Linked DNA regions of Elephas maximus indicus. The protein of the gene in region 1 purifies or fractionates together with the protein of each later gene. This does not show direct contact. Links are inferred from orthologs where the notes say so. Each region holds a gene or a part of one and is shown in the gene's direction. Other genes may lie near its edges. The genes, in order: EED and AEBP2.

Region 1 (12,566 bases):
CCACCAGTGCTCCTTAGTCTATACGTAAGAAACAGTAAAACTAACCTCATTAAATCTGTTTCCTTCTCTAAAAGAGGTGAGAGCTAGTCTTAATGAAGAATGTTACCCCTTACTCTAGGGAGTATTTGGCAGCCTGTGAGATGGTTGTCACAATGATTGGAGAAGCTATTAGCATTCATAGGTTGGGGCCAGGTATGTGTAATATCCTATCCTGCAATGCTCAGGAAAATTCCCTACATCCAAAAATTTTTGTACCCCAAATGCATTCCCGTTGAGAAATACCATTAGGTGGTCTCCTATTGCCCTTCCAGCTCCAAACTTGTTAGTGAATTCTATTTATCCATTTAAACTGGAATTGCTTTAGTGTTCTAAACGTCAAATTTAACAAGCAGACAATGTCAGCCAAGTGGAAACTAAAACCAAATCTGTTGCTGTTGAGTCAATTCCGACTCATAGCAACCCTATAGGGCATCGACGGCACTGGTACTGGGTAGGGCAGAGTAGAACAGCCCCATAGGGTTTCCAAAGAGCAGCTGGGAGATTTGAACTGTTGATCTGTTGGTTAGCAGCTGAGCTGTTAACCACTAAGCCACCAGAGCTCCATTGGTCAAGCAGGCATCCTTATTCCTGAGCATAGGATTTAGAAAAACTGTGAAGGAGAAATCAAATCAGTACAATTTTCTTGACTCTGGATATGGATAGACATGATCTCATTTAACTGCATGCCTCAAATCTTAAATGAGCTTTTGAATATTTGAGTTTTAGAACCCCCCGCCCCGAGCATTTTCCCGTGCATGTTTTCCTCTGCACTTTTAAACTCATGTGCCCTTCAAGAAGTGTAATCCAGGTTTCTGATTCACTTACACTTAGCTTATCAAAATCTCCTTTTACAGTTCTTTGAGACTCTGCGCCTTCTGAATGCTTGAACTAGCTCTATCAAGTCTTTGTTTTAAGCACCAGAAGTCACTGTTGCTCTTTCAAAGAAATGAAATAAAGCAAGAGCCCGAGTTGGAGTAAATTCAAAATCCTAATTTAGTTCCCTAGGTTCTTTTGTGGGTGTGTGTGCTTTAAGTGAAAGTTTACAGCTCAAATTCTCATACAAAAATCTATACACATTGTTATATGACACTAGTTGCAATCCCTATAATGTGACAGGACACTCCCCCTTTCACACTGGGTTTCCCCGTGTCCATTCAACCAGCTCCCGTCCCTTCCTGGCTTCTCAACTTGCCTCCAGACAGGAGCTGCCCATTTGTTCTCATGCATCTGCTTAAACTACAAAGCACACTCTTCACGAGTATTATTTCATGTCTTATAGTTTTTTTTTTAGTCCAGTCTAACCTTTGTCTGAAGAGTGGGCTTTGGGACCCTACGTTCTTTTTTAGAGCACGTTTATTTTTACTTTTACCACATCTTTACTTGAAACTTTCTTGTATATAACCCTGTTTAAGGTTCTCCATTACACATTTTAAAATATACACATAGCTTCAACCCAAGTAAGTTTTGCATAAAATATATTCCTTTCTTGCCTTTGTAGTATGTACTGTTGGTGGGTTAGTATCAAGGTCAGTGGTCCAAAGACAAACTGTTTTAGCGGTTTTTTTTTTTTTTTTTAAGTGCCTCATGTTGTTTTTCAGAATCTGTGTAATTTAATCTATGTAATTATCCTTTCAACACAAAAACTGCCCTGGTGTTGTTTTATTCCAACAAAAACAGCACAATCCAACCTGAGAAGCTAATACTCCTGAGACATAATGCAAGAACAAACCAGTATGTTCCCCAGGAAAAAGGAAAGCCAAATGTTAACAAAGAAATTGAAAATGCAGTTTTGCAATTCTAAAGGGCTAGCCTCACAGTTCTAAGTTAAACATCAGATCTCAGAACTGTTTGGGCACTGGCTTTAACTTAGGGATCGTAATGAATTTCTTTTGGCTGATTAGCAATCTTTCAGACAATTTAAAGATTACAAATGTTTAAAAGAAAAAAAAAAAACAACCAAAACTCCTGTTCCTCTGGCTTTGACACCTACAGTTTTATTTCATAAACAAGCATTTATCTATAATATTCCAGATTCTTAGATAATGACAGTTAATTAACTTGACAATAATTGTAGTCTATTTTTCAGAGAATTAAGTGCATAATATGTACCATGCAATCCACCAGGTGCTCCTTGGAAACCCTATGGGGCAGTTCTACTCTGTCCTGTAGGTTTGCTATGAGTCGGGATTGACTTGAAAGCATTTTTTTTTTTTTTAATGTACCATGCACCAGACAAGACTTTGCCCTCAACAACAATATACTTAACACTTAAAATCAAAATTAAATACAGAAATATTCTTTTCAGGAAATGAATGAGAATTGGGCTATTTAAAATATTTATCTGTTTTTTAAATCAAAATGACATATTTTCTTAATCTAAAAGCATTACATGCTTATTACCAAAAATACAGAAAAATAAAAAGAACGAAAGGAAATACACAAGTACACCAACCCAGAGATAAACACGTTGGCAGCTCAGTGGAAAACCATATAGTGCAGGAATTAAGAACTCCGGTTCCAGAGTTAGGCAGTGTGCATTACATTTAGTAGTTCCATCACTTACTGCCTCTGTGACTTTGAACTAGTAATTTAATTTCTCTGTCTCAACTTCCTCATCTGTAAAACAGAGATGTTTTGAAGATTAAATGAGATAAATCATACAACATGCCTGGCATATAGTGAGTGTTCAATGAAATTTACCTCTTGGTTCAATTTTCTAGATACTTTTTGTCTTAGTGTTTGAGTGGGAACGTTGTTGGTTTTGATTTACGTTTGAAAAGAGTGCTGAAAGTCTCAGAAGAAAGTCACTTATAGTCAGCATATGTTTTTCTTCATACTTTTTAAAAACTATGTAAGGAAAAAATTGTGGATAAGATCTTATTATTCTTAAAATCAAGGCTGCTGATTTTAAATCAAGAGCAACCCTTTATTTTGTCCAGAAAGCAAAATACATTTATCATTCAACAATTTTTCACACAGTAATCCATGTTTTAAGCTCTTGCACATGTATTATCTTGCTTAATGCGCACAATAAACAAACCTCTTTTAAACACAAAACACTGGAATTACTTTCGTTTTTTAAAAGCTAACTTCTCCCTTAAATTAATGATGGACAATTGACTTTTGCACTTGCCTCCTAAGACTGTACTTGAGTTTGGGGAGAAGTGAAATTACATCATGTCTTTCTGCTCAATACCAAAAGTTAAAAATCCCATCTTCTTTCCTTCAACTTCTGTCTTGTTTAGAGATCACATCACTCAGGAAATCAGCCAAACTATCAACCTGAGTCATTCTATGCCCACCTCCCACCACCCCACATGTTGCTTGAGTTACTGAGTCCTGTTGGTTGAAATTCTTAAATATCTCTGGAAACAACCCCTTGTTGTCCATCCTCATCGCCACTGCCTTAGTTCAGTTCTGCAGTTTTGCAATGGCTTCTGAACTCATCTCTCTACCTCCATTCTTACACCCTGACCACTGCCAAAGTGAAAACTCTTCTTCGGTCATGCACTGCTTATCAATGGCATAAGGCTTTTCATGATCTGGTCCCTCCCCAGCTAACAAGACACTTATTGATATGCCATAAGCCAAAGTATTAAACTTATGCTGTCACCTCTCAGGTGACTAGAATATGAATGTCCACCCGTTAGTGTTACTTCCTTGCTGTTATTAAGGAAACCAGAAAACTGAATTATTAATCATAGGTAGTACTCAGTAGGCAAAGAACAGAGGGCTTTTTAAAGGGACTTTGTCTTACTTTCCCTTTTACTCCCCACCTTCCATCCCCATGGATACTGCTTTGCATATAGACAGTATTCAGTAAATTTCTCCTTATTGATTTTGAAATGTTCAAAGAAGCCATATGATCTTATGTTCACAGAAAAATAGATCTGTAAGCATATTATTACACATTGCAGGAGTGATGAACAGCTGTTATTTATGAAGCAGAAGATACAAAAAATGTTGAATGAATGAGAAATAGACTTCAACTGAAATAGAAAAGATTTAATTTAGCTCTTGAAACTCATTTCCTGATATGAAACTTACAAGATATTGGAAGACAATACTAAGGGAGGTTGCGAGTTCTCTTTTTTTATGTAACTAAATGATCTTTGAAAGTTTTTCAAGATAGATCAACCACTTTCTTGAAAGCTAAGGGGTATTTCTGATGAGAGTTCTCAACAGTTCAACAGTCTAACATGAGATAGCTTTTTTTTTTTTTTTAAATAAATTTTTATTTTGGGATAATTACAAAGTTACAAAGATAGAATAGCATTTGTGTATACTCTTTATCCAGTTTGCCTTATTGTTAACCTGTTACCCCCGCTGTTAACATGTTACAAAACCAAACCCACAGCTGTGGAGTCAATTCCCACTCACAGCAACCCTTTGTAAACTTCTACAGAAGCAGACTGCCACATCTTTCTCCCGTGGAGCCGCTGGTGGTTTTGAACTGCCAACCTTTCAGTTAGCAGTTGATCGCTTTAACTACTGCACCAGCAGGGCTCCTTTACATTGGTACATTTGTCAAAATTAAGAAACTTAAATAGTACGTTATTATTAACTAAACTCCAGAATTTATTTGGATTTTCCTGTCATGTCATCCTTCTGTTCCAAGAGAGATAGCCTTTTTTATGTTCTTTGAATAGTGTGTAAGACATTGGCCTAAAGATCAAGCTCTGTGCATCCCACTGCAGCATGGGATTACATAAATCTAGAGTTGCTTGGGTCCTTCATTTTGAGGCTTTGGAGTCAACCAGCCTTGAATATGCTCCCCAGCCCTGCCACTTGCAGAGCCAGGTGTTTTCAGGTAAAGTGTTTAATCACCCTGGGCTTCCGTTTCCTCATTTGTAAAATGCAGGTGGTAAGACCTCTTCAACTGTGGTGGTTCCTGAGATCCTCCACAGTAAGAGAATTCAGTGTTGAGAAACTTACTTTAACGTATTATATTAACTTAATACCATCAGGGTAGCACTCTAAATAGAATACCTTTGATATTTTACATATCCTAAACTAGTAATAATGAATATTAATGAAGTAATTTCCATTTATCATGCTTGACTCACCAGAACATTTTTAAAAAATTCCTCCAAGTTTTAATAAGACACTTAAAATATTTTTGCTTTGTTACAGATAATGTTCATGCTGAAAGGCATTTTCCTCCCATAGGTGTCCATTATTCAGAAGTTCAACACTTTTCTGATTTTATGACTAGAAGTTGACTCCCAGGTTCCAGTTTTCATTGATCCCAGACACAGAGTAATGTGGATTTGAAATACTTTAGTTGATTATCCTTTAGTTGTAGACATATATTTCACATTCTTCCCAACAGGTAAGGGGAGTATGTTTGTCTCTGCACATCTTACTTTCTCAGTAGCTGACTCCATACCACTCTCATCTCTCTTCTCACCAACTAAGGAGTGCTTAGCAGTACCTGGCACATTAGGATTCAAACAATAACTGCACTTATTATTATTAAAATCTCAACTTAATTTTTTTTTTAGCTTCCTTATTTTCCTGAGTTTTCATTGCAAAAACCTCTTATTTTGCCTTTACCACACTTTTCTCATTCTCAACCAGGAGTTCTCTTCTTATCTCCAAAACAGTGACTTGCAACCTGCAGATAATGAAATTGATTTTCTCTCTGTGAAAGCATCATGCAGAAGTAATTCACGTATACTAGAATGTTATGGAAGGGGCAGTCTAGACTGGCAATCTTTTGGGTGATGTAACAAAGTAAAAAATGAGAAAATGTACATAAAATCAAGTCCGTGCTCAAAAAATTTGTATCCTTTATTTTTAAAGATGAGGACACTGAGTCACAGAAAGATAACTTGTCACAACCATGTTCTAAAAAAAGGTGGGAGGGGCTAGATTTTATCTCCTGTCATCCTTCTTTTCCTGCTGCTCATTCAGTTACGCGGCTTAATGACCCATGTACCAAATCCGCAAAGTTCACCAATATATTTGGCACCGGTCAAGAGCCCAGATATGGTAATACTCATAAGAGAAGCATTTTGGTGAAGTACAAGTTTTAGTGCTGTCTCAAAAATTTTATTATACCTGATGTGCCCCCCCCCCAAAAAAAATTGTCCGTCGTTTTAGTCTCATCCATTGTTGGAAGCGACCACTGATTTATGGGCCTTGGCGTTGTCTGGGCCTTAATGATCCTTCAGCAATTAAAAAGAGGGCTTCGGCTATAATTCTTGAAGGTCTAGAATCATATTATGATTACAGAATATTCCTACTTAAGCCTTAACCAATATTGGCACCAAGTGGGTGAGAATAAGCATTCATCGCAATAAATACTCATCAGAATAAATATCCACCAAGAATTTAAAATGCATCCTGAGACTAAGACTTGGTAGCGCTTTGGAATCCATCCTGGACTACGGAAACCGACTAGAACTCTACCTGGTTCAACAAACAAGATTTCGAAAAGAGGAGGGGTGTAGAGGAGGCGGGTCCGGATGGACCAGCGCGAGAATACGCTCCGGCGCATGCGCGTCTCCTAGCTAGTAACTTCCATTTCTAGACGGGGGAGGCGAATGGAAAGCTGTCTACAATTTTGGAACATCTATTCCCAAAAGAAAACTAAGTTGTGAAAGATTTCGTGGAAAACCATAAGAGAATTATCCTCCGAGTTGATGACTAAGGATATGCTTCGCACACGCCGCTGAAGCAAGAGGTGACTTCTCGTGTTTTCCCCCGTCCTTTGGGACATTGGTGGTCTAGTCCATTCCACATACTTTCGAGCCCCTGCAGCGGGTCGAGGATCGAAGGTTTGGGCCAATTGCGGCTGAAACGGCTTTGGAAGGAGAAAGAGAGTGAGGGAGAATCCCTCTGAGTTCCATCTCTCCTTTTCGAGGCGGGAGTGGTAAAGGGGACGTACGAAATACTGCCCTCGAAAGCCAACGGATCACACCTCTCCGTGCAAATTGCCAGAGGACTGCGGGAAAAGGGCAAGAGGATAGTAGCGAAAGGGAAGGAGCCAGAAAGCCGCGCGGGAGGGCGCGCGAGCGCGCCCCTTTTTCAGCAGTGTGGCGGGGTCGCACGCACGCCCGCCTCGGCGGCTGGGCGCGGTTTGCGACAGTGGGGGGAGCGGTGGCGGTGGCGGCGGCAGTGGCAGCTTTACGGCAAGCTCTGGCCGGGCTTGCTTGACGGCGGTGTGGCGCAGGCCCCGCCCGAGGCGGCAGGAACCTGGAGGGAGGCGGAGGAATATGTCCGAGAGGGAAGTGTCGACAGCACCGGCGGGAACAGACATGCCTGCGGCCAAGAAGCAGAAGCTGAGCAGCGACGAGAACAGCAACCCAGACCTCTCTGGAGACGAGAATGTAAGTGCAGCCCGGAGCAGTCCGGTCGGTACTCTGGAGTGAAAGTTTTAAATTCTTTTTAAACTGTAGGCGCTGGGGCGGGCGGGCAACCGTAGGGTGGAGGGAGAGGTGTCACCCTCTACTCAGGAAAACGCGGGCGTGGAGGAGAAAATTGAACTTGTCTCTATGGGGATGTTGAGCTGGGGCCGAGGGCAAACAGAAACGTGGGGAAGGAGGGTGATTTAAATGGTTGTTTGATGAGCAGAGGGTCTGAGGTGGTCTGCTCTGAGATCCTCTTGGTGTATGATTGACGGGAGGGAGAGTGTTTAGGCCTTCGGGTGATTTTGGGAGAGTGCGGATCTGAGATTCCAGTAGTTTAAAAGGCGTGTTAGAGATTTTTTAAGAGAGTTGGAAAGAGGGGGATAGTCTGTTAGGGCCTCTTAAGGACTTGGGGGACGGTGTCACTCATAGACCCTTGTGAATTTTCAGGATGGAAAGCATAAATCTTCGACTTATTGGGTTTGGGTAACTTTTAAGGGGATTTTGTGTCTGCTCCTGTCCTGCTCATGGAGATGGAAAAGCAGATTGAGAGTCACCTTCTGACGTGTAGGGGGAATGACTTTGAGGAAGAAATGAGAAGGGATGGTTTCTCCTTTGAAAGTTGTTATTTCAGATAAGCGGGACGACCTAAGAGAATTTAGGCAACTGAGTGGTGAATGCAAATTGGCTTTGGAATCAGACTTTTTTTGTTTAAGTTCTGAGATGGATCTTGGTAATCATGTAGTCCCAACAGTTTACAAAGCTGTGTTTAGATGACTCGCCTGTAAAAACCGAACTGACATTAATAGATGTGGATTGAAGAATGAAATTCACTCTGCAAGTAATCCAGCTAAAATTCTTTTTTTGAAAAATGAATGTATAGGTAAGAGTAAGTGAATGATGATTAGTGAAATATACTTGGAACTTCCAGGTGGTAACAAGAGAAGGAAGTTTCAGATTTATTTAGGATCCCATGGAAAGCCTAATATTGTTTTGGTTTGTGTACCAGCCTTTTTCACTAGAGAAAGGATGGACCTTTTCTCCTTCAATCCTACAGTGTGCTTTCAAATCGCTTGGGTTTTATAAAAGTGGCAAAATAAGTTCAATAGATATTTTGGAGTAATTGATTCTTCACCAGGTACACAGATACTGGTATATAAACCAGGTTCTTGTTCTAAGTTATATCCAGTAAGGTCAGCAAAATGTCCGACTCATAGCAATCCTATAGGACAGAGTTGAACTGCACCATAGAGTTTCCAATGGCTGCTGCCACTTCTTTCTCCCCCAGAGCAGCTGGTGGATTCGAACCACTGACCATTTATTTGGTTAGCAACCAGGTGCTTAACCACTGTTCCACCAGGGCTCCTTAAAATGTCTAAAAGATTGTTCATTCAAGGCTATTACTGCAAAATATGAACCCTTCCTTATCATAGTATAATAATTTCTCAGTGCGTTAAGAATTTTTAAAGGGTTATGCTTGGGTGGTGTAAGTTCTTCATTTTCTGAGTTTGGCTAGTTTTTTAGGAATTGTTATATCTTACACCTTCAGTTCCTAAATTCTATATCATAAACACTGACGCATATATATGGAGACTTTCTTTTTCTTTATTTTGATGAGTAGGTTTGTTAACTTTCTTTGAAATTTATCCCTATCTTCCTAAGTTTAAACCGGTCTTTTATTACTTGGTATTGCCTTGACGTCCTCTCTATTTGGAAGTTCTATACCTGTATTGTTTATTCCCTTTTTTTATTGTTCTGTCATTGTCATTTACAGATCTCTCTGGCTCCGTGTTGTAAATCTTTTAGTTTTGTTTTATCCTTGGGAGTTCATTACCTAGGGTAGTGTCTGACTGATACTGTCTTGTGTCCTAGATTCAGGTTGATGTCTGATATTTTTGGTTCTCTAACTGAAGGACTTTCTTTAATAATTCTTGTAAGCTTGGCTTGGTTTTTACATATTCCCTTAATTTCTGTTTATCTGGAAATGTCCTAATTTTGCCATCATATTTGAGCAAGAGTTTTGCAGGATATATTCTTGGTTGGCAGTTTGTCTTTCAAGGTTTTATGTATGTCATTCCATTGCCTTCTTGACTGCATAGTTTCTGCCCAGTAATCAGAGTATAGTCTTATTGCTTCCCCTTTTGTATGTAACTTAGTTTTTCTGGAACTGCTCTTAGGGTTCTTTGTCTTTGGTTTTAGCAAGCGTGGTTATGATATGTCTTGGTGATTTTCTCTTGGGGTCTATCCAATATGAGGTTTGTTGAACTTCTTGTATGGTCAGCTTTTCGTCTTTAGGGAAGTTTTCTGTCAGCAAGTCTGCAGTGATCCTCTCTGTGTTTTCCATTTTCTCCCACTGTTCTGGAACTCCCATCACATGCAAAGTTTTGCTTTTGATTGTATCCCACATCGTTCTCAGGGTTTCTTCATTTTTCTCCATTCTTTGATATTTCTTCAAAGTGGTGTCCATAGATTTGTCTTCGATTTCACTGATCATATCTCCTGTTGTTTCAGATTTGCTCCTAAAACCTATTGCATTGTCCATTTCTGGAATCTTATTGTCATTTGAATTTCTAATTGCTGTTTTTTTTTTTTTAATGATTTCTAGCTGTTTATTTTGATGTTTTGTTCCTTTATTTTTCTTAATTCTTCCATTGCTTTGTCTTTGTTTTCCCTGATTTTTCTCTATATTTTCCATGATTTTGTCTATTTTTTCCTTATTTTTGTCTGCATTTTCTTCATCTCTTGGAGAACCCTGAATTTTAGAGTTTTGAATTCCCTATCAGGTAGTTTCAGTTCCTTTTCTTCTACCAGAAGGTCATTGGTGTTTTATTTTGGTTGCTTTCTGGAGCCATCCAGTTATGTTTTTTAATGTGTTTTGATATTGTCTGCTGTGGCCTGTACATTCAGGAATTATTTTCTTAGTTTACTGATTGTAGATTTGTTTGTTTCATCCCCCTTTTTTGTTCTATTTGGTTACATCTGGGCAGGCAGGCTGGGAGTGTTTTGTTACTTGCTCACCTGTCGGCATGATACTTCTTTCCACCCAATCCAGGTGAGCAGGTCCGGTCACTCAGCTATGGTGCATCAGGGTAGGTCCAGCGGAAGTGGAGGGGTGGGGATGGGTAGTTTGCAACACAAACTGGGGACTACAAGGCAGGGCTGGGAGCAGTGCTGGGTGAGGTTGGGGCGGATCATGTTGGTGCTGCTCAGGGGCGCAGTGCAGGTAGGCAGGAGGGGCGCAGTGCAGGTAGGCAGGAGGGGAGGGAGAGGATGTGATGCATAGAGCTAAGTGGGTGAGTGAGAGAAGAGAGGAGAGAGAGAAACAAAAGCAAAAAAATGAAGGAAAAAAGTAAAATGACTGGTAGGATTTGGTGAGTAGGGGTGGAGCTGACCCAGCTAGGCCATGTGCTGGTGGCTCTCTAGCCAAGTGGTGCAGCTTGACCTGTTGAAAAGGGGCATGGGTGGTGCACGGGGCTAGGTGGGTGGTAGAAAGGGAAAAAAAGGGGGGGGGGGGGGAGAAGAAACCAACAAACAAAGAAGTAAAGTTAAGAAAATAAAAAATAAATAAAAGCAACAACAACAACAACAAAAATATGGTAGGAAGGGAGCCAGCTGTTGGGGGCGAGGTGGAATTGGGGTGGTGGCAAACTGATGTTTCACTCTGGACATGTCAGGAAGGGGCAGAGGCAGCACAGGGCCTAGGTGGGAGTGAGAAGGAAAAGGAAGAAGGGGAAAGATAAAGAAAAATAAAGAATATGGTGCTGAAGGAGCCAGCCTGTGAATGCGGCACAGACCTGGGGAGGCCGTGTGTCAGAGGCTTTCCAGCCGAGTGGTACAGCACAGCCCACCAAGAAGGGAGGTGTGGTGCATGGGGCTTGGTGGATGGGAGAAAGAAAAAACAACTAAAAAGAAAAACAAACAATATATAAAATGGCACTGAAGGAGCTGGTTGGTCATGGCACTGCACCATGTTCTCTGAAAAAGGGGAGGGGATGGCACACTAGGCTAGCTGGGTGGGAGAAAGGAAAGGAGAGAGAGAGAGAGAAAGGCAACAAAAAAAGCTTAAAAACAAAAAAATGGCGCTGAGGGGGCTGGCTGATGGGGGTGGGGTGGACCCAGGTGGCAGTGAGCTGGTGTGTCACCGGCCAAGTCACTGTGGCCCATTGGAAAGCGATGGAGGCCTTGTACAGGGAAAAAGGGTGGGGGGGTGGGAAAGCATGTATCCCTGGTTACTGGGTGCTCTTTCTCCACGAAGTTGCCTTTCTATACTCCTTGTCTGTGTTCCTTGGTGGCTGTAGTCCAAGATGGCAAATCCGTACTATGTTAGCTGAAAGGGGACCTCTATTCGTAGCCCTCCTTGTTCTTTGTTCTCTGTCAGTTTCTTACTCCACTGGGTGCTTGCTTGAGCTCTTTATTCCTTCATTTGATGCTTAGGGTTCCAGGATTGATGTTTGTATCTGTTTTACTTAGTTTTTCATTTTTCAGGTCTTTGCTGCAGAGGCGTGGCATGCTGCTTCTGTCTATAGCACCATGTTGGCTCTGCCTCCCCTGAATCATATATACAGCATGGTGTCATTACCAAGATTTTCACGGAAGAGGTGGGAAAGGATTCTTTTTGTAGGTTGAAGAAAGATATTTTAGGATTGTCAGCTTGTAGGATCTTAGACTTGAAGTTTCTTGGAAAAGTTTGGGTGTTGAATGTTACTTAAAATCTTTTTTTTTCCTGTTTGTGCTTCCCATATATATTGGGGTCTAACATTTTTGACCCTCTTCATTCTAGCCCTTGGAGCCTGTTACACTTCCTGGATTTTCTTAAACTTCTCTAGACAGATTAGACTAGTGGTTAAGAGCACAGACACTGGATCTAAATGCTGGGTTAAAAATCCTCTTCATTGATTGTTTGACCTTGAGCAAGGTACTTAACCTCTGCCTCAGTTTCTTATTCAAAAAATGGGAATGATAATGATACAAAGAGTACTTAATCTCCGTCTCAGGTTTCTTATCTGAAAAATGAAGATGTTAATGGTGCAAACAGTTAAACACTGGACTACTAGCCAAAGGATTGGCAGTTTGAAAGCACCTCAGAAGACAGGCCTGGAGATTTGCTTCCAAAAGATCACAGCCTTGAAAACATTATGGAGCAGTTCACTCTGCATGCATGGGGTTGTGGGATCA
Region 2 (12,230 bases), on another chromosome or scaffold:
TGCCGGGGTTCAAGCATGTCTGGGCTTGTCTAGTAAACTGGTGAGAAAGTACAGAAAGAAACTTGCTTACATGGGAGCTGAGGCTGCTTCCTAGAATAAAACTCATTTTAGTGGAAAAGAGAATTAGACAGAGAACTCTTATCAGAAAGACTTAGTCATTGGATGGGGAGTAATAAATACAGCCTGGGGTAGCTTACTCAGATCTGTCGCCAATCTAGGCCCATGAGAGCACGTCTGGGTCCCTGAGAGAGACAAAGCTCTGAGTAAGACCATAAAGAGCTATTTCACTGAAAACTGTGTAAAATATTGGGCATAAGCAGTCTGCTTTGGGGTTCCCCTAACAGAGATCAACACAAAGGTCTCCATGTCCTCACACTACACTGTGGCTTTGGCTGTTTGTATCACAGTTCCTGGTAGGAGCCTGCAATGCCTAGAACAGTGGTTCAGCAGGGGTGGTGCGGAGGGAGCGGGTTGGGAGAGGAGTTAGTGAGCATGTGAGAGAAAGCCCTGCTGCAGGAGCTCTCAGAGATATTTTCCGATGCATTTTGCTGGAAGTTGGAGGTGTCATGACTATATTAGTAGGTTTGCTAGGTAGAAGAGCCACTGAAATTTGAGTTATTGTTGCTAATTTGATCCTATTAGTAAGTACTGTGACTGATGGATTTGGATAATATTCCTAATCAAACAACTTTTATGCAATGGGTGTTACTGGGCAATTGATAATTACATAGAGAATCACACACTCTCCAAGCTGGAAGGATGGAACTGTAGAAAAGTGATTCTTAATGTGTGAAGGGCCAGTTTTCTTTGGTAAATTTCCAACTGACAGATACACTTATAAAATACAGTAAAAATGAATTACCAGAATTATGAAATTAATTAAAAAAGATATTAAAAATACAAGCTCTGATTTTTTATTTTTGGATTTGTTGTTATTGTTAGGTGCTGTTGAGTTGGTTCTGGCTCACAGTGACCCCACCATGTACAACAGAACAAAACACTGCCTGGTCCTGTGCCATCCTCAACAATCACTGCTGTTTAACCTGTCGTTGCAGCCACAGTGTCAATCCACCTTGTTGAGAGTCTTCCTTTTTTTCGCTAACCCTCTACTTTAACCAAGCATGATGTCCTTCTCCAGGGACTGGTCACTCCTGATAACATGTCCAAAGTACCTGAGACGAAGTCTCAGCATTTTCTCTAAGGAGTATTCTGGCTGTACTTCTTCCAAGACAGATTTGTTCATTCTAGCAATCCATGGTATGTTCAATATTTTTTGCCAACACCATAATTCATAGGCATCAATTTTTCTTTGTCTTATAGGGTTGCTATGAGTTGGAATTGACTAGATGGCAACAGGTTTGGTTTGGTTTTTTACTTATTTATTGTCCAGCTTTCACATGCACATGAGGCAAATGAAAATACCATGGCTTGGGTCAGGTGCACCTTTGTCCTTAAGGTGATAGTTTTGCTTTTTAACACGTTAAAGAGGTCTTTTGCAGCAGATTTGCCCAATGAAATACATCCTTTGATTTTTGACTGCTGCTTCCGTGGGCGTTGATTGTGGATCCAAGTAAAATGAAATCCTTGACAATTTACTCTGTCAAGTAGGTATAAACATTTCTAAACATTAATTTCGGTACTCATCTCGTTTCAGACCAGTGACAAACTGCCGGTTCGTGGACAGACACTGCTCTGTGGACCACGCGTGGTACACTATCATCCATCATCTCACCTAATGTTGCCTAGAGAGTCTCTATCAATAGGAAGTCCTTCCTGTAGTTAAAGACTTCAGCATTAAATTTTGAAAGCAAAGACACTGCAGTTACGTAGGAGAGTGGCCTTGTTCCTAGGAGATGCACGAAAAATCAATGCTGTCTGCAACTGAACTTGAGACACAGAGAATGCAAATGTGGTAAAATGTTAGTAATCTATGAATCTAGGTAGGTGTACAGGTATTTATTATGTAATTCTTGCAATTTTTCAGAAAATTGGTAATTAAAAAAAAAATCCTAAGTGATGGGAAATTCACTTTTTCTCCATAAAGCCAATTCCGAGATAGCTGATTTTAGTCTTCAGGTGTAAATACTGCAGCTGGAGCATTCATTTTAGCTTCGATAACTATTATTTCCAGGTGTCTAATCTCTATTCACGGAGCTCCAGTGGCGCAGTGGTTAAAGAGCTCAGCTGCTAACTGAAAGGTCAGCTGTTTGAACCAACCAGCCGCACTGAGCAAAAGAGATGTGGTAGCCTGCTTCTGTAAAGATTTACAGCCTTTCAAACCGGATGGGGCAGCTCTCCTCTGTCCTACCAGGTTGTGATGAGTCAGAATTGACTCCACAGCAGCGAGTTTTTAATCTCCATTCACTTTTTCTCCCCTACGCATTAGGTAGCATTACAACATAACCCTAATCATATTACACCTTTATTAAAATACCTCAGTATATACCCATTGTCTTTCAACATCAAAACTTTTTATTCAAGACCTTCTGCAATCTGGTCTTTAACTCTTTTTAGCTTTCTAGCTTTGCTTTCCTGTGGCTAATAAACACTGTCTTGAATAAATTTTTATACTTTTCCATGTTATTGCTTCTTAATCGTAGAATTTCCCCTCACACGTATTTCTAATCACTCAAGATCCAGCTCAAATTAAACTTACACGTAGTTAGCGTTTATCTTAACTCTACACATCTGTTCAAATCCTACATTTTTCATGAAGCTTTCCACGATTAACCTGGCCAAAAGTGAGCCTACTCCCCCGTGCTTAACACACTGCCTGGCACATACACTCAAACACTTTTGAGGAACCAAGTTAAACTGTGATAGTTCTTCATTTACAGCACAGGACGATAACACTCCTTCCTTATCCATCTACCTAACATGCTCTATATTGTGGCTCTGAGTTTAACATGTTGTAGTGTGTGTGTGACCTGACAGCATTGGGCTTTTTAATTGGGTTTTAGTGTGTGTGAAGAAGGTACTTGTAAACTATAATGCCACAAACAATTATTTATTATTTTTGCTTTCCCATGAGGCAACATTCCATGCAACAGCCGTCCAAAGGCCTAAGGCAGTGGACATAATACTGGACACAAAACTTCCAAGATGTGTATAATAAGCAGAGATTTTTTTTTAAGGCTATCAGTTCTCTGACCCCTGAAAGTGATCTGCCTGAAAACGTGCCTTGAAGTTGGTCAAGGTATAATGTGATCTCCTTTTCCACTTCCTTATTCCAATTGCCCCCCTCCTATTTTACAAATGAAAGACATAACTCCATCTCATCCAGAATTTTAGAAAGGTGCAAAAACCTCTGGGATGACAAAAACCTCCAGGGACACCAAAGAAGGGGACAATTGGGAATACTGGTGAATGAGAATGGGTAGTATCCTTTTACAAGTCAGGTGGTTTTCAGTTACTTGCTTTCCACAAATTTGAAGGAGTGTCTAGTCAGAGTTATCAGCTGACAGATCGTTAAAAGTGTCATTGTTGACTTTTTTGGCACGTAATTTGGAAGGAGTGCAAAGAGCTGAGTGACATTGCTATACAAAACTCCATTCATTGGCATGTACTTATTTATGTGAACAAGTTTTCTCAACGCTTATGTCTTTTCAACACTTACACGCACAGAATTGAAAGAACAGAATTCATGCTGAACTCCTTCTTGTTCTCGTTAATACTCATCCACTGACAAAATAAACTAGTTGAAAAAATCCATCCAAGTCCATTTCTGTAAGATGTATTTCCAATAAAATTTTACTTTTATGTTTAATACTTACTTATAAAAAATGAAATATATTTGCTTGATCGTTAAATAATAACACTTAAAAGTTTTATGGTCATAGGAAATTAAAAAAAAAAAAAAAACCTCTTAAATGTCAATTTGTATACACAGTTTCAAGTGTGCTTACCCAAAACCAAATCCACTGCCTTCAAGTCGATTCTAACTCATGTTGTTGTTGTTAGGTGCCGTGCAGTTGGTTCCGACTCATAGTGACCCTATGCACAACAGAACGAAACACTGCCCAGTCCTGAGCCATCCTCATGATCCTTGTTATGCTCGAGCCTGTTGTTGCAGCCACTGTGTCAATCCACTTTGTTGAGGGTCTTCATTTCTCACTGACCTTCTACTTTACCAAACATGATGTCTTTTTCCAGGGACTGATCCCTCCTGATAACATGTCCAAAGTATGTGAGACATAGTCTCACCACCCTTGCTTCTAAGGAGCATTCTGGTTGTACTTCTTCAAAGACAGATTCATTCTTTTAGCAGTCCATGGTATATTCAATATTCCTCTCCAACACCACAATTCGATGGCATCAATTGTCAATTGTTCTTTGGTCTTCCTTATTCACTGTCCAGCTTTCACATGCATATGAGGTGATTGAAAGCACCATGGCTTGGGTCAGGTGCACCTTAGTCCTCAAGGTGACATCAGTGCTTTTCAACACTTTAAAGACGTCTTCTGCAGCAGATTTGCCCAATGATCCTTTGATTTCTTGACTGCTGTTCCAACTCATAGTGACTTCTGACTCATAAAAAAAAAAGTGACCCTATAATAGGGCAGAAGCTGACTGCCTTATCTTTCACCTGAGGAGAAGGTGGCAGCTGGTGTGCTGAGGCCACCTTTAGGTTAGCAGCTGAGTGCTTGACTACTGTGCCACCAGGGCGCCTTAATGGAGTACAGTGGGTCCTAATCCCTTCTGAGTGGTGTCTTATAAAAGGGGAAAACACAACGTGATAGACATGGGTAAGGATCATTCGAAGATACCAGGGCTTCAAACTGGGAGCTGCTTGAACCCTTGCTGAGAATTTGCATTTCCACCCCAGATATACTGAATTAGAATCTATATTTTAATAAGAGTCCCAGGTGATCCTTATGTATAATAAAATTTTAGAACCACTGCTCTACTACTTTGAAACCCTGGTGGCATAGTGGTTAAGAGCTATGACTGCTAACCAAAAGGTCAGTGGTTGGAATCTACCAGGTGCTCCTTGGAAATCCCATTGGGCAGTTCTACTCTTTCCTATACTGTCGCTATGAGTCAGGATCAACCCAATGGCAGTGAGTGGGCTTTACTAATGGAGGCCTGGTGGTACAGTGATTAAGAGCTCAGGCTGCTAACCCAAAAGTGGGCAGTTCGAATCCATAAGCCTCTCCTTGGAAACTCTACGAGGCAGTTTTACTCTGTCCTGTAGGATTGCTTTGAGTCGTAATGGATTCAAGGGCAATAAGTGTTGGTTTGGGCTCTACTAGTGGTTTTCAGAATTGGTCTCTTATCAGCCGCATTAGCATCCCTCGGCAACTTGTTAGAAAAACCGGTTCAAAGCTTTGATTCAGACACAGGCTAATAAAAACTTGTGGCTCTATGTTGTGTACATGGATTTAGTACCTTGCATGTTTTTTTATGGTGTTACCTATTTTCGTTCATTTTAATCGCCTCTCCTCGTAGATTGTAAACTCTGACGGCCACGGACTTGTTCTATGCCTGGAAATTGCCCGCTGTGTACGGGCGCTGGGCCAAAAAGCTCCGAAGTGAATTACTTTATCGAGAGAACTTTGTGTGTTGCTAAAATCTCCGACCTGCGCTCGGGTTTTCGCTCCCTCGCGTCCCGCCCACTGCGCGGCCGTGGAAAACGTGGGAAGGTCCCGAGGAAGCGCGGCCGTGGAAAACGTGGGAAGCTCCCGAGGAAACTCCGAGAACTCAACGAGGTACGGGCGGGCGCAGAGGCGCGGACACGAGCGCGGGATCGGCGGTCAGGGGAGGCGCCACCACGTGCCGCCGCGCAGGCGCGCAGCTGTCTCCGCGTGAGTGCGCGCAGTCGCGCGCCTGTCCCCGCGCGGGCTCCGTAGCGCGTGTGCAGGCTGACGCAGCTTGCGGGCCCTCCTCCTGCTCTGCAGCGGCGTCGGCTGAGTTTTGGGCGTTTGGGAGGGGGCGAAGGAGCGAGAGTCGAGAGAGGAGGCGGCGGCTGCGGCGGCGGCGGCGGCGAGGAGGTGGAGGAGTAGGCGCCGCCATGGCCTCCGCTATCACTGATATGGCCGACCTGGAGGAGCTCTCCCGCCTGAGCCCTCTGCCCCCCGGCAGCCCTGGCCCGGCGGTACGGGGTCGGGCTGAGCCCCCTGAGGAAGAGGAGGAAGAGGAAGAAGAGGAGGCGGAGGCCGAGGCTGTGGCGGCGCTGCTGCTGAACGGCGGCGTTGGTGGGGGCGGCGGCGGCGGAGTGGGGGGCGGCGAGGCGGAGACGATGTCGGAGCCTAGCCCCGAGAGTGCCAGCCAGGCCGGGGAAGATGAGGACGAGGACGAAGACGAGGAGGAGGACGAGAGCAGCAGCAGCGGCGGTGGCGAGGAGGAGAGTAGCGCCGAGAGCCTGGTGGGCAGCAGCGGCGGGAGCAGCAGCGACGAGACGCGCTCGCTGAGCCCCGGCGCTGCCAGCAGCAGCAGCGGCGATGGGGACGGCAAGGAGGGCCTGGAGGAGCCCAAGGGACCGCGGGGCAGCCAGGGCGGTGGCGGGGGCGGCAGCAGCAGCAGTAGCGTCGTCTCTAGCGGCGGAGACGAGGGCTACGGGACCGGGGGAGGCGGAAGCAGCGCGACCTCCGGAGGCCGGCGAGGCAGCTTGGAGATGTCGTCGGATGGGGAGCCCCTGAGCCGCATGGACTCGGAGGACAGGTCAGTGCGCTGAAGCGTTTCCCCTTGCCCTCCTCTTGCGCTCCCGGCCCCCTCAGAGGGGACCAGGGGGACTTTTTGATGGGATCTCCTACTCCCCGAACCCTTGGCCCCTCCTTTAGGTTCTCAACTCGGAAATCGCTCCCCGCCGCCGCGCCCCTCTTGCAGCGGATAGCGGCTTCCAACTCTCAAACCGTTTCCCTTCGCCCCCCAACTCTCCTTTCCCCGCCCTCTTTCCCCTCAGCTTTCCACTCTTTACGGATCTAAGGACGGGTCTAACTCCCAAACAGTCTCCAAAGCAGGCCCAGACCTCCAGGTGAAGCAGGAGACCTTGATGTATACCACGATACACAAGGTTAGCTTCATCCGAGCGTGTTCGTGAACACTTGTCAGAACTATTATTGACAAGTGTTTTCCAACATGGCTGGTCTCGCTTGAATCTAACATAACTTCCTTGTCCAGCAAGGAGACCCCAACTATCATTTTTTCTACTTAAAACAAGACTATTCTTTTAAATTTAATGAATGCTTTCCAGATTCCCTTTTAGTAGTCATTAATGTGGTACCCAGCGTGATTTTTAATAATCTATTTTGTGACCAAATCACTGTAGGAAAGAATAACGAATTGTTTTTTAAAATAACTTTGCTAAATCAAAGACTCGTAAGAAAATAGTCTTGAAGGCACCACATACTAGTATCCGTTTTAAACTCTTTACAGTAATGCTTAAAAGTGAGAATTGTGATGTTAGATGATAATATTTAAAGTCATGTATTGGAGAGGCCTATGAAGGGATTATTACCACTTTTTAAAGCTTATTGGAAATAATGTGGAGAGTAATTAAAAATGTGCCCAGTATTTTCAGAACGTTTTAGAAAATTGTTGTAGTATATGCTTCAGTTGTTGCAATCATTACTTTTGATCCCTTTGGAAAACTTCGTATTTTAATATATTTTTTAAAAAGAGAAACACTTCACCCATATTGTACCGATTAAATACGTTAGAATTTATTTTGAGCATCTGCTAGAATTTCTAACCGTCAGGATCGATTGTGGTTTAAAAGTTTAAGTATCCTAAAGTTCCACAGGAATTGTGATGGCTGACTGATAAAAATGAACATCAGTTTGTCTTTAATGTAACAAAGACTAGAAGGGCTTGGATATTTTGAAAATCTAGCATTTGGTTCTGTTTGACATCTACTTTATCGTCTTGTGAAGAAAACGTTGTGGATGGGGTAAATAGACTGTGCAAACCTTAGATATATTGTACTTAACTATAGGCATGGGCAGGAAGGAACGTATTCTCAAGAAAATTAAAAATTGATGTGAACTGTTCAGTGAAGCACATTCTATTTATCATTTGTTATTTCCTCTGTCATTGATATCATCGGGTACTTGAAAGTTCATGGTAGTTTATGTAGTTGGCATCTACCATAGTTTGTTGTGAGTATACTTACAGACACAAGCACATTTGCCTGATACTGCGCAGTTCCAGTGTCTCAGTCGTTTCATCCTCAGTATGGTGCAGTTTAAATACTGTTTTGACTTCATTTAACTCTGAAGAAGCAAGTTGAGTTCCATGTCAAAACAGTATAGTTTGAAAGCGGTGGAGCTGGATCTGAACGAAAGTTCCCAAAACCAAAAACCCATTGCGGTGGAGTTGACTCCAACTCATATCATCGTGTAGGACAAGGTAGAACTACCCTATAGGGTTTCTAAGGCTGCAGTCTTTATTAAAGCAGACTGCCACATCTTTCTCCTGTGGAGCAGCTGGTGGGTTCCAACCGCTGCCTTTCATTGAGCAACTGAGTGCTTAACCACGGCACCATCAGGGCTCCTTTAAGGTTCCCAAGTCACCAGCTATTTCCACTTTACAAGAGTTAGAATAATTCACTTTAAGTAACACGTTGTATATGTCAGGGTTGTTTCTTTTTTTTATATGTGTGTTGTGTGTGTTAATATCTGTCAACTGCATCCTTTCCGGAGACCAGGAATTGTTAGTCAAGTAATGTTTCACAGAATGGAGTTTTGACTTCATTTGATATTCATTAGATTCATTTGAATAATTTTTACATCATACCTTATTAGAGTAGGAGTGAAATTTGGTGTCACAAATCCATGTAAGGTTAAAACTTACATAACCAAGCATAGTTGCCTTTCTTAAAGAATGCTCAAACATTAGAAACTGTGAAATATTGTAATAATTTTTACATACCGTTGTAGGTTAATAGATTTATCACTTGCATGAAAACCCTTACATTACTAATGAAACTGGTTTGTGGTCTTAATAATCTTAATTCTGAAATGTCCCCTTGTTGTCTTTGAGGATTTAAAGAAAAAAATTTTTTTTCAGTTTAAATTTGGAAAGGATCCATAATTTCTACAAATTGTACTGAAGGTTACCCAATCTGTGGAGATTTTATAAATTGGTTTGATGGTAGAAAGTCTTTTATAACTGGTGGAAAGATATTGTGATTTTAAAGTGCTTTTAAAAATATTTAGGTATTACTGTTACAGTGTCAGAATTTACTCTGCGTTTCTGTTAGAGTGCCTGTTCAGTTTGTCATATCAAAATTAGATTATAGTTTTGAGCGTATCTGAAATGCTTTAGAATTTGTTGAGATCTCTTAAATATCTTTAATTTTAATTATCTCCTTTAAAAGAAGAATTAAGTACAAAGACTTAGAGATTATGACCTAAAGTGGTATTTTCATTTTTGTGTCTTTTACAAGCTTGTTTTGGAAGTGTTGTGTGGTGAAAAGTGAGTAATTTATCAAACTGTTAAATCACACTTTGTACAAAAAAAGTTATTTTCCCCAGGAGAAAGTTATTTAAAATTGTCTTAAGTCTGTAAATGTGTTTACTTCAGTAAATTTGGAAACCCTGGTGGCGTAGTGGTTAAGTGCTACGGCTGCTAACCAAGAGGTCAGCAGTTTGAATTCACCGGGTGCTCCTTGGAAACTCTGTGGGGCAGTTCTACTCTGTCCTGTAGGGTCGCTATGAGTTGGAATCCACTCGATGGCACTGGGTTGGTTTTGGTCAGTAAATCTAGAAAATCGTAAAATTGATATGTAATTTTACTTTGATTACAAAGGTAATAGAATTTTTTCTGGGGAGAATAATGTTAGACAATTAAAACTAATTTTTTTTTTTTTTGACTTTGAACTTAAGCTTACGATTAAAAAAGCTACTACGGTTTTCCTTTAGGTGATTTTAGAGGCTGAGTTGGCATTTAAAGTTTTAGAATTTAAAATGCCTGTAACATTTTTTAGTTTACAAGTTAGTTCTAGCTATTAAATCAGATTATGCACAAAAGAACCTTCAGCTTTTTTATGTATAGGGGAGTTGATAATAATAGGCTCTCTTTTTGTGGTTATTTGTCTTTTATATAAGGAGTCCCTGGGTGGCGCAATTGGTTAGTTTAAGCAGTTGACTACCAAGTGAAAGGTTGACTGTTCAAACTCAGACGTACCTCAAAAGACAGGCCTCATGATCTGCTTCCAGAAGGTCCCAAAACCCAAAACAAACCCACTACCGTTGAGTCGATTCTGACTCATAGCGACCCTATAGAATAGAGTAGAACTGCCCCATAGAGTTTCCAAGGAGCATCTGGTGGATTCGAACTGCTGACCTCTTGGTTAGCAGCGTTAGCACTTAACCACTACGCCACCAGGGTTTCCTCCAGAAAGTCATAGTCTTGAAAATCATTTGGAGCAGTTCTCTGCACACATGGGGTCGCTGTCAGTCAGACTTGACCTGATGGAAACTAACAACAACAACAACATTTTATGTTATGTTTTTTTTCTTCCAACTGGAATATAAGCCATAACTTATTTTATAAAAGCTAAGATGACTTTCAGCCACTTTAACAGCCTTTTGGGATAAATCCAGACGTCAAGTGAAAAGTATATATGTGAGGAAGTGGTGATAGGCTTATAGTAAGTTAATGGTCATCAAAGGCCACAAGGGTCTTACCTTTTTGTGCATGTCAAGGTTTGGATTCCCAGCCCTTTGGGTTGGGAACTTGGAGATATAACTAAGATTGCTTTGAAACTAGAAAAGCTGGCTTTTATTGCTTCCCAGTAGCATGATTAGGAAGTTCTTTTTCTAGTATAGAGGCTAAACTTTGAAATCAAGTCATTACTGGAAAGCTGCGTATTGAGATTATTGTTGAGATTTATTGAGGATCTTTATGGTTGAGATAATAAAATACTTTTATGTAAAGTAATTTTTGCATGTACTTCATAACAGAACTCTACTAGGTGCTCTGAAGCAGCTGTCCATAGCCTCTCCAGAATCCCTTTGTTAGGTAACTCTGTTTCATTTTGATTAAATTTAGAGAAAAGAGCTTCTTATAGGTCTCAGTTTTGATTGATAACACATTGTAAACACCACTGCCGTGGGGTCGATTCCGACTCATAGCGACCCTCTAGGACAGAGTAGAACTGCCCCATAGAGTTTCCAAGGAGCGCCTGGCGGATTTAAACTGCCAACCTCTTGGGTAGCAGCTGTAGCATTTAACCACTACGCCATCAGGGTTTCCGATAACACGTTGTAACTCTCAGTTGAGTAAGATTATGGCTTTCTTCAAAACAAAACAATGCAACAATAAAATATATATAGAGATTTCAGAATTGAATTTATATAGAGAGATTTTAGGGGTCCATTTTACTTTTAAGAAACATTAAGACTACTTTGTTGGATCAGTTAGGAAATCCTGTTTATAGACCCGTTTGCTACCAAACCAGGTTATTTACTATGTACAAGACCGTTTGGAGGGTGGTGGGAGATAGAAATACAAAATGCTTCTCAATCTATCTCGCGTATTGCTATTAGACTTTCAATTCTACGGTGTATATTATGTTATAGCTGCTTGCACAAAAGCTTCATTGACTAGTGTAAACAGATTTCACATGTTGCCAATTGTATTTATTGTTGTACAGCAATTTTTTTCCCCAGAAGTTAGGGTCTTAAATAAAACATATATCATCTCATACAGCTTCTGAGAGTCAAAAGGGCATGGTAGTTCTGGCTCAGGGTATAATGAGGTTGCAGTGAAGATGTTGGCTAACCCCACCGTTGTCTGAAGGCTTAACTGAGGCTGAAGTTAATTCCAAGATGGCTCACTGACATAGCTCTTGGCAGGAGGCCTCAGTTACTCACCACGTGAACATCTCCATAGGGCTGCTTGTGTGTCATCACAACATGGCAGCTGTTTTCCCTAGAGTGAGTGATTTAAAAGATTTAAAAAGAGGAAGTGAACAATGCCCTTTTAGGCCCTAAATATACCTGCTCATGTTTTTTTCATACATCTTTTTAGCGGATAAACTTTTCCTGTTTTTCTTTTTATTTACACTATCTGATTCATGATAGTTGCTTCAGATTTTTGTTGACTGAGATAAACCTTCAGAGCCCATCAAAATGCCACCATGAATCCTTTCTGGGTATTAATTTCTTTCTCCTTTTAATTTCCCTATTCTTATTTATTTCTTTGTATTCTTTTTATGGCCATATTCTGTATGTTGAGGGAAGTAGAATATTGCTGTGTAAAGAGCCTGCATGTAATCTGGAGCAAGG

What was found.
Region 2: the proteins of EED (region 1) and AEBP2 purify together in Homo sapiens (affinity purification with mass spectrometry; 6 studies listed by BioGRID and IntAct, counting the BioPlex papers as one, with this or other methods). This does not show direct contact. The link is inferred for Elephas maximus indicus from reciprocal best matches to the Homo sapiens genes EED and AEBP2.

The regions. Positions count from the first base shown.
Region 1 is NC_064825.1:35,346,178-35,358,743, reverse strand, and holds the start of EED (polycomb protein EED), read left to right. Parts: upstream 1-6,886; 5' UTR 6,887-7,259; coding exon 7,260-7,373; intron 7,374-12,566. UniProt on the Homo sapiens protein: Polycomb group (PcG) protein. Component of the PRC2/EED-EZH2 complex, which methylates 'Lys-9' and 'Lys-27' of histone H3, leading to transcriptional repression of the affected target gene.
Region 2 is NC_064822.1:78,273,457-78,285,686, forward strand, and holds the start of AEBP2 (zinc finger protein AEBP2), read left to right. Parts: upstream 1-5,817; 5' UTR 5,818-6,010; coding exon 6,011-6,660; intron 6,661-12,230. UniProt on the Homo sapiens protein: Acts as an accessory subunit for the core Polycomb repressive complex 2 (PRC2), which mediates histone H3K27 (H3K27me3) trimethylation on chromatin leading to transcriptional repression of the affected target gene.